Linked DNA regions of Caenorhabditis elegans. The protein of the gene in region 1 purifies or fractionates together with the protein of each later gene. This does not show direct contact. Each region holds a gene or a part of one and is shown on either strand. Other genes may lie near its edges.

Evidence for each region.
Region 2: the proteins of fbxa-194 (region 1) and F16F9.4 fractionate together in Caenorhabditis elegans (co-fractionation; one large-scale study listed by BioGRID). This does not show direct contact.

Annotation. Positions count from the first base shown.
Region 1 is NC_003283.11:19,776,531-19,780,690, forward strand, and holds fbxa-194 (F-box domain-containing protein), read right to left. Parts: upstream 2,179-4,160; coding exon 2,129-2,178; intron 2,074-2,128; coding exon 1,864-2,073; intron 1,806-1,863; coding exon 1,722-1,805; intron 1,677-1,721; coding exon 953-1,676; intron 900-952; coding exon 717-899; downstream 1-716. Other genes in the region: fbxa-118 (F-box domain-containing protein), read right to left, coding at 1-425, 482-559, 604-644.
Region 2 is NC_003284.9:8,459,106-8,465,438, forward strand, and holds F16F9.4 (Alpha/beta hydrolase fold-3 domain-containing protein), read right to left. Parts: upstream 4,256-6,333; 5' UTR 4,226-4,255; coding exon 4,073-4,225; intron 4,023-4,072; coding exon 3,915-4,022; intron 3,868-3,914; coding exon 3,753-3,867; intron 2,455-3,752; coding exon 2,310-2,454; intron 2,255-2,309; coding exon 1,943-2,254; intron 1,891-1,942; coding exon 1,696-1,890; intron 1,105-1,695; coding exon 942-1,104; 3' UTR 716-941; downstream 1-715. Other genes in the region: F16F9.3 (EF-hand domain-containing protein), read left to right, coding at 480-619.

The DNA.
Region 1 (4,160 bases):
TTTCCTTGAGAAAACCGGGCTCGAAGCGGGAAATGATGGGAGTGAGCTGGCTGGGACAGAAATCTCCAATTTCCAGTCTTCTGGCACAAATTTTTGAATTGGGAAACCGATTTTCAATCTTTTCCTGGAACATAGCTGCTTTAATACGAAAATGGTCGATTTCAAGCTTCGGAATCGCTAGAAAATCTTCCAGAACGCGTAGAATCTCATTTAAGGAATTCCTAGAAATTCGCATCAGCACAGGATTTTTGAAGTTATTCGTGCAATATCCTCCGAGGCCGGTGTTCCGTGTCGAGCACCAACACTCGCTGTGCAGATGAATCCAATAGGAATTGTTGTAGATCGATAGTTCAACATGCTTGAAACAGGGATCTCTGTTATCTAGGAAATTCCTCAATTTTCGGCAGACTTTTCGCAGGACAAGTCTGAAATTTTTCTTGCAATTGGTTGAAAAATGGCTGAAAAATGGCTGAAAAAATACCGATTGATCGGATCCACGTTGTCCATAATTTCATGAAGCACTCTGTTTGGCATGTCGAATAGTGAAGGAGCATCGGACCTGGAAGCTGGGAAATTTTGAACTTAAAAATCATTTAAACGAACGATTTTTTCGAATCCAACTCAATCGTCAATTTTTCTGCCATTTCTCGAGTGTTCTGGGTGAAATCCGTGGTTTTCTGAAAAATAAAGTGTTAAATTTCATTGAAAAATGCAATTCAAGTCGTACTGAACCGATCCTCATCACACACGATGACAAATTGAACGTCGTTGCTGCTGTAGAGAATGGCATTGGGCCCGGTATGCACGTATGCCGGGTCGAAGACTTTTCCGATAGCTTCGTAATCATAATCCGGAAGTTTGATGAGACCTTCTTCGAAGAGCGTCGATTTTGTGAGAATCTGAATGTGAAAATGTGATTATTGAAGAGTAGTCCGCTTTTTTTTGCACTTACATCTCGAATTTGGATAGCTTCTTTCTCTGAAAAAGTTTCCTTAGCAATTTCGAAGCGCTTCGAATGCATCACATGATCGATCTGAAGGTGAATCTCTGACACCGTATTCGTTTCGATATCTATCGCCTTCTTCCATGATTCCAGATTGACAAGTTCGTCGACTGGTTCCCGATTCTCCTCAATTTTGTATCTAGAAATGTGGATTCGTTCAACTTTTCCCGGTTTAAAGCGGGAAACCATCGATACAATTGCCGGCATGATCGTTTCACGAATAATGAGCGTTTCCACTTGAAATTGGATTTTCACACCGTTCAGAGCATCGGCGATTTTCACGGAAATCTCTCGACGGAGGCGATTCTTAATTTCAAGTAAGGGATCATCGTCATGAATTTCTTCGAATTCGAGTGGGTGACCGTTCAATGAGACAGCCAATCTCATTACTTCAAATTGACTTTTCGGATTGTCCATCAGCTGAGCCAAATCGTTCACCGCCGCTTTCACATAGCTGATTCCTTCGATTTTAGACGATTTTCCGCCCAAGACCACATTACAACTGCCATCATCTTGACTGATGTATTTAATCTTGTCACAATCTGGCCACCTGGGCCTGTCAATTTGAATCGATGCGAATGTCGGACGAACGGTTAGCGAAACTTCCTTGTAGCCATGTTCTCTGGCTTTTGTGATACTTCTCAGGTTTTGAGACACTTTTCGAAGAACTAATCTGAAAAGACTGTGATTTTCAGCAGATTTTCAGCTTTAAACTAACCTATCAATTGGCTTAACATTATCCAAAACTGTATCAACAATATTAAGCGGCATATCGGTAAGTGTCTTACTCTTCGGATTCCAACTGAAATTTAAATTTAATTATAATTTTATAAAATCCTGTAATTTCACAACTGATTTACCAAATATCCTCATTCAAATCTTCACATTCGACTCCAATTTGATGGTACCAATAATCGAATTCCCGATATTCTATCACATCATTTCCAATTGCTTCACAGAAATTTCCGAATGCTTTCAGAGTTGGGGTTCCTTGTAGAAATTCGTAGAGAATGCACAATTTGATCGCTTTTGTGTCATTTCGAATAAGATCCGATTTAGTTAATGGAGCTCTGGAAGGAAAATTTGAAATTTTTGAAAAAAAAACATGTTTTTTGAAGCTTTCACCGGTGAGCGGTGAGTAAAACTATCATTTTGATCGAATCCAACTCCTCCATTTTCCGAGTTATTTGGTTGTACTATTCTGAAAAACAAGCAAATTAAATTGTTGAATTTGACTGAAAAGTATACTAAAAAATACAAGAAGACGGTAGAAGAAGACAAACCAAACAAATCGCCGAAAACTTGCTTATACTACAAACTACAAACACTTTTGTGGCATTAAAAACTTATTTTTCCAATAATTTCAACAAAAAAACAAGTAATTTCGTGAATTTTCAATAAAAAAGAGATAAAAACTGAAATTCGAATTAATGTTTGCTCATCAATTAATCGTGTATTGCGTACATCGCCGTCTACCGTAGTACGAAAAAAAATCTGCATTTTTCAATCAATTTTTTCAGTAAAAATGTTAAATAAAAAAGGTATTTAATCGAACAATTCATCATAAAACTTATTAATACAATAATTTCAACAACGAGTGCTCATTTTCATATTAGAAAAAACAATAACGAAGGAAATTTAACAGGAGTTTTCAAAGCTTTGTGATTTTGACGTATCCGCCATACGTGATCATAATTTTGAATTGATTAATTCTGTATTCAACGTAACGATTAATATTTAATACCAGCCGCTGACCGCGCCTCTGGCGCGGACATCGACTGGCGCAGTTTCAACATCTTTATAACTCAAATCAACAAACCCCAGTACCCCGACTATATACTTCTAATTTTTTTTCCGGTTCTGGAACATTCCAGAATTTTCTCGAATTTTCCAGAAGGTTCTGTAACATTCCAGAAATTTCCGGAAATTTCCAGAAGGTTCTGGAACATTTTATAATTTTCCCGAAGTTTCCAAGATCACTTCAAAAGACGAAAAACCAATTTTTCCCAAACTACAGTAATCCTACAGTAGCCCTACAGTACCCCTACAGTACTACTACACTACCCCGACCATGTCCCGCCACTAACCTCAAACCAATATTCCTTCAACAGCCTGAAACACTTTGCAAGTGTGACGTCATAGACTACAAACTACAATTGTAACATCCTCCATGTATTTTTTTATATATATAAGTAATGATTTTCTTAACGATGAATGTTTTCGTATAGTCGAAATTAAAACTGATTTTCAGTAAACTTTGGTGTTTAACTTGAAGGTTTAAAAGTCCAAACCATTTATTTTTGAAAATCAAAAAAAAAACAATGTTTTGTAACACGGAAGCATTTCTGATAAATTATGTGATCATCATCACCAGAATTGTACCTTATTTTTGCTCTCCAGAACAAGGAACGGAACGCCTCCAATTATGAATGTAATATGAAGAAATCAAAACAGATACAATTTTCTCACCGTTTGCAAGAATTGTTGTTATTGCCCGCCGGCTATAATTCATTATTACACAACACGGAAATAATAATCAAATGCAGTATAAATTGATTTCTTCCAGGTGGGAAAAATTTAGATTCCGCAATGAATCGTCTGTTGGAATATGGTAGTGTTGAAGCTATACCCTATTACAACTGCTCCCATAAAAATTTCACGGAATGGGAGAAGACTGGACAGAAACGACCGTATTTTGGATGGCCATTGGTCGTTTTTGGGGTCCTCGTGGAGTTGTTGTACATTCCTGTTATCTATATTATATTTAAAACCAAACTTATCAGACATCCGTGCTATAAAATAATTGTTCTATTGGCTCTAATTGATATGAGTGCAACTTGCTGCAGTTGTCTTTTTACCGGGTCTATGCTGATTATGGGAACCGTGTTCTGCATGTATCCAACGTTTACTTATGTGGCTGGAGGAATTGCATTAAGTGAGTCTTTTAGATTAAGTGAACATTTTAAATCTCTTCTATTTTCGAACTGTCAACGTCTCCTGGATCGGTATTATGCAAATTTTATTCTAATGAAAAAAAAAATCATCAGAATAAATTTTACCGAATATATATTCTAGTAGCTTATAAATTTTTCAGATACCTGGTGCATGGCGTGTGCAGCTACCATGTCCCTATTTTCCAATCGGATAATAAGTATTG
Region 2 (6,333 bases), on another chromosome or scaffold:
GGAAGCGATGATTTCGCCCTTCCACCATTGTGGTGAGACTTCTGTTTGCGCCAGAGACAAAATCCACTGTTAAACATAGGAAATGCACTGATTTCAGTACTACATTTTCAGATGAAAATTTCCAGACTCACAGAGGTCTTCCGCCGAAACAAATTACAGATTCTGAAAGCCTAAGATGCCAGCTATCGCATAACACGTTTACTTTTACCCGATCGCACCGTATGGTTGAATAACTCCCTAGTTAGTTTTTTTGCACGTTATTGCTAATTTTTTTATTACTGCGCAGTCTTAAAAGTAAACACGCCATAATTCGGTTTTGTTTTCTAAAATCATAAGTTTTTACTTATCGTGAGAATGAAGTAGTTTACTTATCGTGAGAATGAAAGTTTTGAAATTGTTTAATGCGAACATTTTTCCCCTGATTGCTCACAGTTTCATTTCCAACTACTTAAACGTGTGCTTCACATTGTATTTTTCAGAGGTTTGGAGTATCGTTGAAGAAAAAGATGCTAATCTAATTGAACCGTTACCATCAACAATTGAGCAGAGCATGCAACTTTTGAACGGATTCCAAGAAGAAAACGTCCAGCCTGAAAACCCGTTCCTATCTTATATTTAGATAAGGCTTATATTAATCGGGTTTTAAACTTTTTGTTCGAATTTTCACATTTTTCATCTAACAATTTTATTATTTTTTACCCTGTTACACACCCAAAATCAATAAAAATTTATTCAGCGGAAAAGCAAAGGCAGGAAAAGGAAAAATTAACAATTTGGTAACAAATGACTAGATTGCGCATTGAGAACACCGATTGGACGACCATGTAAAAGTGACTGGGAGAAAGTTAAAAATAATGAAAAATGGGACAACTAAACGACTACATGATATTCTAAAATGTAAAAAACCAGATAAAATTGTGAAAAATGGTAACGACATTGATCTAGATAACTGATTTTGCAAAATCAACAGTTGCTTTCATCATTTCATTTCGATCTTTGCTGTTAGGCATGTTGAAAAGTCCATGGAATGCTCGTGGATAATGACGCCACTCCGTTGAAACCCCAGATTTTTTCAGTTTGTTCGCATATTGGATTCCTTCGTCTCTGTAAATGATAATAGTTTTTTATGTGAAAGTTGGTATGGGAATAATACGAGTTTAGGCTTCAAAATTTATAGCAAAAATGTTCATATTCTCTTTCTCGATGTTTAAACGAAGTGTTTTTTTTTCCAAATTTTTTGTTATGTTTATTTAGTTTCTAAATAACTTCTAATAAATCAAGTTTTATGGTCTGAAGTTTAAAAATGACCAATGAAACATTTTTGCATTCAAACTATATACAATGAACAATGCAAATATCGTTTTTGTAAAGTAATTTTTGCAATAACGTATTCATGTAGTCTTGCATTTTTAACAAGATTTTCGGATAAGAATTTTTTTCTGATTTCAAAAAGTGAAATTATTTTCAAAGAGTGAACATCATTTCAAAATAAATTTATTCAAATTCAAAAAAATTTTGGGATGACATAATGTTGTGTTCTCAAACGCAGTTAGTTTTCGACTGGTCCATTTATTGTTAGAGTTAAATAAAGATGCCTTTAGTTAATCATTCCACTAGTTATATCAACGGTTCCATAACACACAATTTTAAAAATTTCCTCCTACAATTTTTCCATTGCAAGTAAAAAAAACTCACTTCAGTACGTCATATCCCGCAGTGAGCACTAACGCTGGTGGTAATCCTTCAGTATCGCCAAACACTGGTGACACGTCTGGATTAGTTCCTAGTTTTATGAACTGTTTGGCAAGATGTTGATCAACCAGCTTTTCTGGTTTCCTTTTGTTTAGATGGTAAAGCCATTGAGAATATGGTTTCTGCTCTGCGAGTTCACTGGAAAAATGCTCAATTTTAATACTGAAAATCTCTAAAAGATGTTTCTTACGGTAGTGCATGTTGAGAATTCATCACCTTTTTGATGTTATTTTTTGATGCTTCAATACCAAGATATAACAGAATCCATCTTGCCATATGCTTTGGATTGAGCAGTGCAGTTCCAGCATATGACTTCCAATAATCTTGATATGACGGACTAGTGAAATTGAAAACATGCGTGACTGGATAGATGAGAATCTGTCCCTTCAGGATGTCCTTCTTCTCCCGATGCAATCGTTGACATACAACTGCAGCCAGATTCCCTCCTGCGCTATCTCCGGAAATCAAGACTCGTTTTCTGTTGAAAGGGAGGTCCAACAATCTGGAATAAAACATACTTAAAAGTTTTTAAATAACTATGCAATTGAAGAACAAACCCATTTGTGCAAACTTCAGATACCACCGCATGGCAATCATCAAGTCCGGCTGGAAAAGGGTGTTCTGGAGCGAGACGGTAGTCAATAGATATCCCATTGCACCCAATTTGTTCGCAAAGCTGGTACATGATTCCATCATAATAACCTAAAGTTTTTTTTTGACTTGAAGAAAGATTACGGAAGTCTTCTTATTTTTGAATATTTAAGTTTTAACGTTGGGGTAGCGCCAGTGGGGAAATTCCTTTAAAACACACATATGGTACCACAATGACCGAATATCATGATAAAAAAATTCAAAAAAAATTTCTAAATTTTATATGGCATTTTGAAAATTGGAAAAATCTCAGTTTTTGCCAAATTCCGATTTGAATTTCCGACAAGAATTTGTTCGACGGAGCGCACTTGCACGTTTTTATTTTTATTTATTGTTTTTTTTTCTCATTTTCCACCGATTTTCTATGTTTTCAGAGTATTTTTGCATGAATTTTGAAGAACAATTCAAAATAAATGCAAATTTTCGATTAAAAAGCAATCGTACAGGCGTAAAAAATCTTTAAAAAACGCATTTACACGATTTCAAACCTTAATTAATTAATTTCACAGATTTACGCTTGTAAAGTAGCTTTTAAACCGAAAATTTGCATTTATTTTGAATTGTTCTTCAAAATTCATGCAAAAATACTCTGAAAACATAGAAAATCGGTGGAAAATGAGAAAAAAAAACAATAAATAAAAATAAAAACGTGCAAGTGCGCTCCGTCGAACAAATTCTTGTCGGAAATTCAAATCGGAATTTGGCAAAAACTGAGATTTTTCCAATTTTCAAAACATCATATAAAGTTTAGAAAAGTTTTTTGAATTTTTTATCATGATATTCGGTCATTGTGGTACCATAGTCGTGTTTTAAAGCAATTTCCCCAATGGCGCTATTCCACCTTTAATAATCCTCAAACACTGAAAATAGTCTGGAAAAAGAACTTTTTTATATTGATTTTTATTTGAAATTTTTTCTATCGGTTTTAACCTTAAATAAATGAATAACAGGTTTGAATGTAAACAAAAATTGATTCAATTTTAACAATACTACAATTTCAGTTTTTGCCAATAATTATTTGGAAATCGGCTTATCCGATTTTTGAAATTACACAAATCGGCCTGGTATACCTAATTTTATTATTTTTCGAATAGACTCAAGTTGACCCCTAATTTTAAGTACCAAATTTTAAAATTGAGAAGAATATGTCACAAAATGAATACAATTGTTTTCTAAAGAACACTTATTCCCACTTCTGAGTCAGCAGTTTTTGTTTTTTTCACGAAACGGTTTTGTTCCAGTGCTTTGAAATAAAATTCACAGATTAAAGCCTCTTGGTTTGAAAAATTCAAATTTTGATGATTTAAATTTTTTGAACAGCTAAGCATTTTCAGAAAAAAAAAACTTACGAGCTTCTCCCACACACCATCCACCACCGTGAATAAAAATAAGCAACCCATCATTTTGTGGCTTCTCAATTTCGTAAGCAATGCAGCTAACTCCTTGGATTCTTATTCGTTTTCTCTGAAATTATTAAAAGATTACATGTATACCAAATTGTTTTATCTTACAATCATTCTTTTGGGTGGCAACGTAGGGATGAGGAACCCTACTCCCATGACAAATCTGGTAACTTTATTTCGAACTTCTGGCCCAAAAACATTTTCGATCAAATCTCCCTAAATTAGTTGCGTTTATTTTAAAATAAAAATTTAAAAATATAACTTACTAAGTATTCATTAGAAAGACGCATCAGAAACTCAGCGATTGTCAACTTCGACCTGTCGGATATGTCATGGGGAAGTGGGATATGCAGGAGATAGAATGAGTATCCAAAGAATAAAAGGACTAACAACCAGTATAGCCAGTATAGCCACTCCATAGCTACACCTGAAATGAAATTGTATACTTTATCATGCACAATAAGCGGGACGTCAAACAAAAAAATAAAATAATGAAAGTGTTTAAGATAAAAATTGATAACATATAGGTATAATCAATGTGACTTTTTGTGCATTTTTGGAGTTTGTGGGTAGTCACAGTTGTAAGCACCGTAAACTCAATAATGAACTACATTTTGGCATTTAAATTTGTGTTTAAATATCGATTTTCCATAATGTGTTTTATTTCTTGAAGAATAAAATATTAAAACATAAATTAAGATTTTATAGTCTTAATCAAACGGGTAAACTTTTTTAAATAGAGTCAATAAAAACTTTGTACATTTTTGACTTTATATATTTTGTGTTCAACTCTATGTTAGGTTCAAATTTGCAAAAATTATATACATCTTTATTAATATCCGAATTTAGCAAAAAAGTCTAAAAAAAATTAAGGGAATACTACTAATATGGGGAATGGTCCGTCGAAAAACCGAGAAAAATGAAATTTGACCAAAAATTATATAAGTTAAAAAAAAATTATATAAAATCCAAATTCTTTATAGAAGTTCTGTCCAATGGAGGGTGTCAAAATTTATGTGAAAGGAAAAATGAGAGGAAGCGATTGTAGGTAATGAGAACAAATGCGATGTAATCTTCCACTTTGACATCTCCGAAACTCATCGGTGTATCCGATTGGTTTCACAGCTGTATTCTATGCAAATTAATTTACAGGCAAACACCGACAAGTACCTCACAGAAAGACTTTTGCTTTCGGAAAATGAGCGCAGCGACGAACACCCAATCGTCACCCTCATCCTACCGGAGGCAATGTTGCTTTGGAAATAACTGACCTACTTTTGACACCACCCACACAGACAGGGCAAGTGGATCCTAGTTTAGTTCAAATAGAACAAATGTGGTGGTAGAATGAATGTACGTGGCGAAATAAAACAGAAACACGAAAAAGGAAAGGTGACGAAAAAAATTGGGGGCAAAGTGACTGGAGGTATGAAAGATCACAGTGTTATCTTTATTATCTGGCCACATATTGGAATTTAGAGTGTGTTGCACTTCTGGTCCACTTCAAAGAAATGGCAGTACAACTGGTAGTCACGTAGAAATTATTTACTAATTTCTGATTCAGAAAAAGTGCAAAGCAGTCAAATCTTGCAAAAAAAACCGATTTCAATTCTGGAAAACGACATTCTTCAAAAATCACAGCTACAAAAAGATAATGGAATTGGATAGATAAGATTATAAAGTTTTTAATTGGAAGCAGGCTACAGATGGGATTAGTTTACTGAATCACCAAATTTGTACTGAATTTTTGTAATATGATTTTTGTATCCTTTGCAAATAGATATTGCTGCAATTGTTGCGAACTTTTTTGTGTCAGTGATATTATCAATAACTGGTAGGTGATGTAGAATAGGTCTAAAATTGAAAACCCATGTAACTAAATTTGGATATGATCTTTTAGAGATTGTAAACTAGTGAAAAACGTCACAAATGTGTCATGTTGCAAGGAGACTTGTTAGACAAAGAAAATGACGCTGTCGGATGTTTTATATGTTTTAGGCAAATTCATTAATAGAACAACAGTGATTACAACAAACAGAATATGAGTCAATTTCAGATAATATTTTAAAACTTTTAATGCGAACACACTACAAACATTCAAATAAAACATATATAATTCAAAGTAAGCACATGTATAAAAAAGTCGAAAGTTTTATTTAAAAAAAAAGTCGAATTAAAAATTCGAAACGTATTGCCGTACAGATGGAATTGAGTGTTCTCAAAATGTGTTGGGAGGCTTCATCCTCCGCGTTGGACAGAATCCGGTTGTAGCAATTCTTTTCCTACTTGCGTCACTGCCATCCCAAAAACGCAGCGTGTATTGGTGTTACGCGTACGCAAAAATTTCATTCATATGTTTCTTTTGATCGAAAGAAAAGTTGCTGTCAGACCCATTGCTAACACCTGTGTAATCAAAATTAATGTTTCCCGTAAAAAGAGAAAGTTCCGGTCCATAAATAAATCATAATACTCAAATAATCTTAATTGGTACTGAAAATACGAAATCATTTTTAATTTATGATTTCAT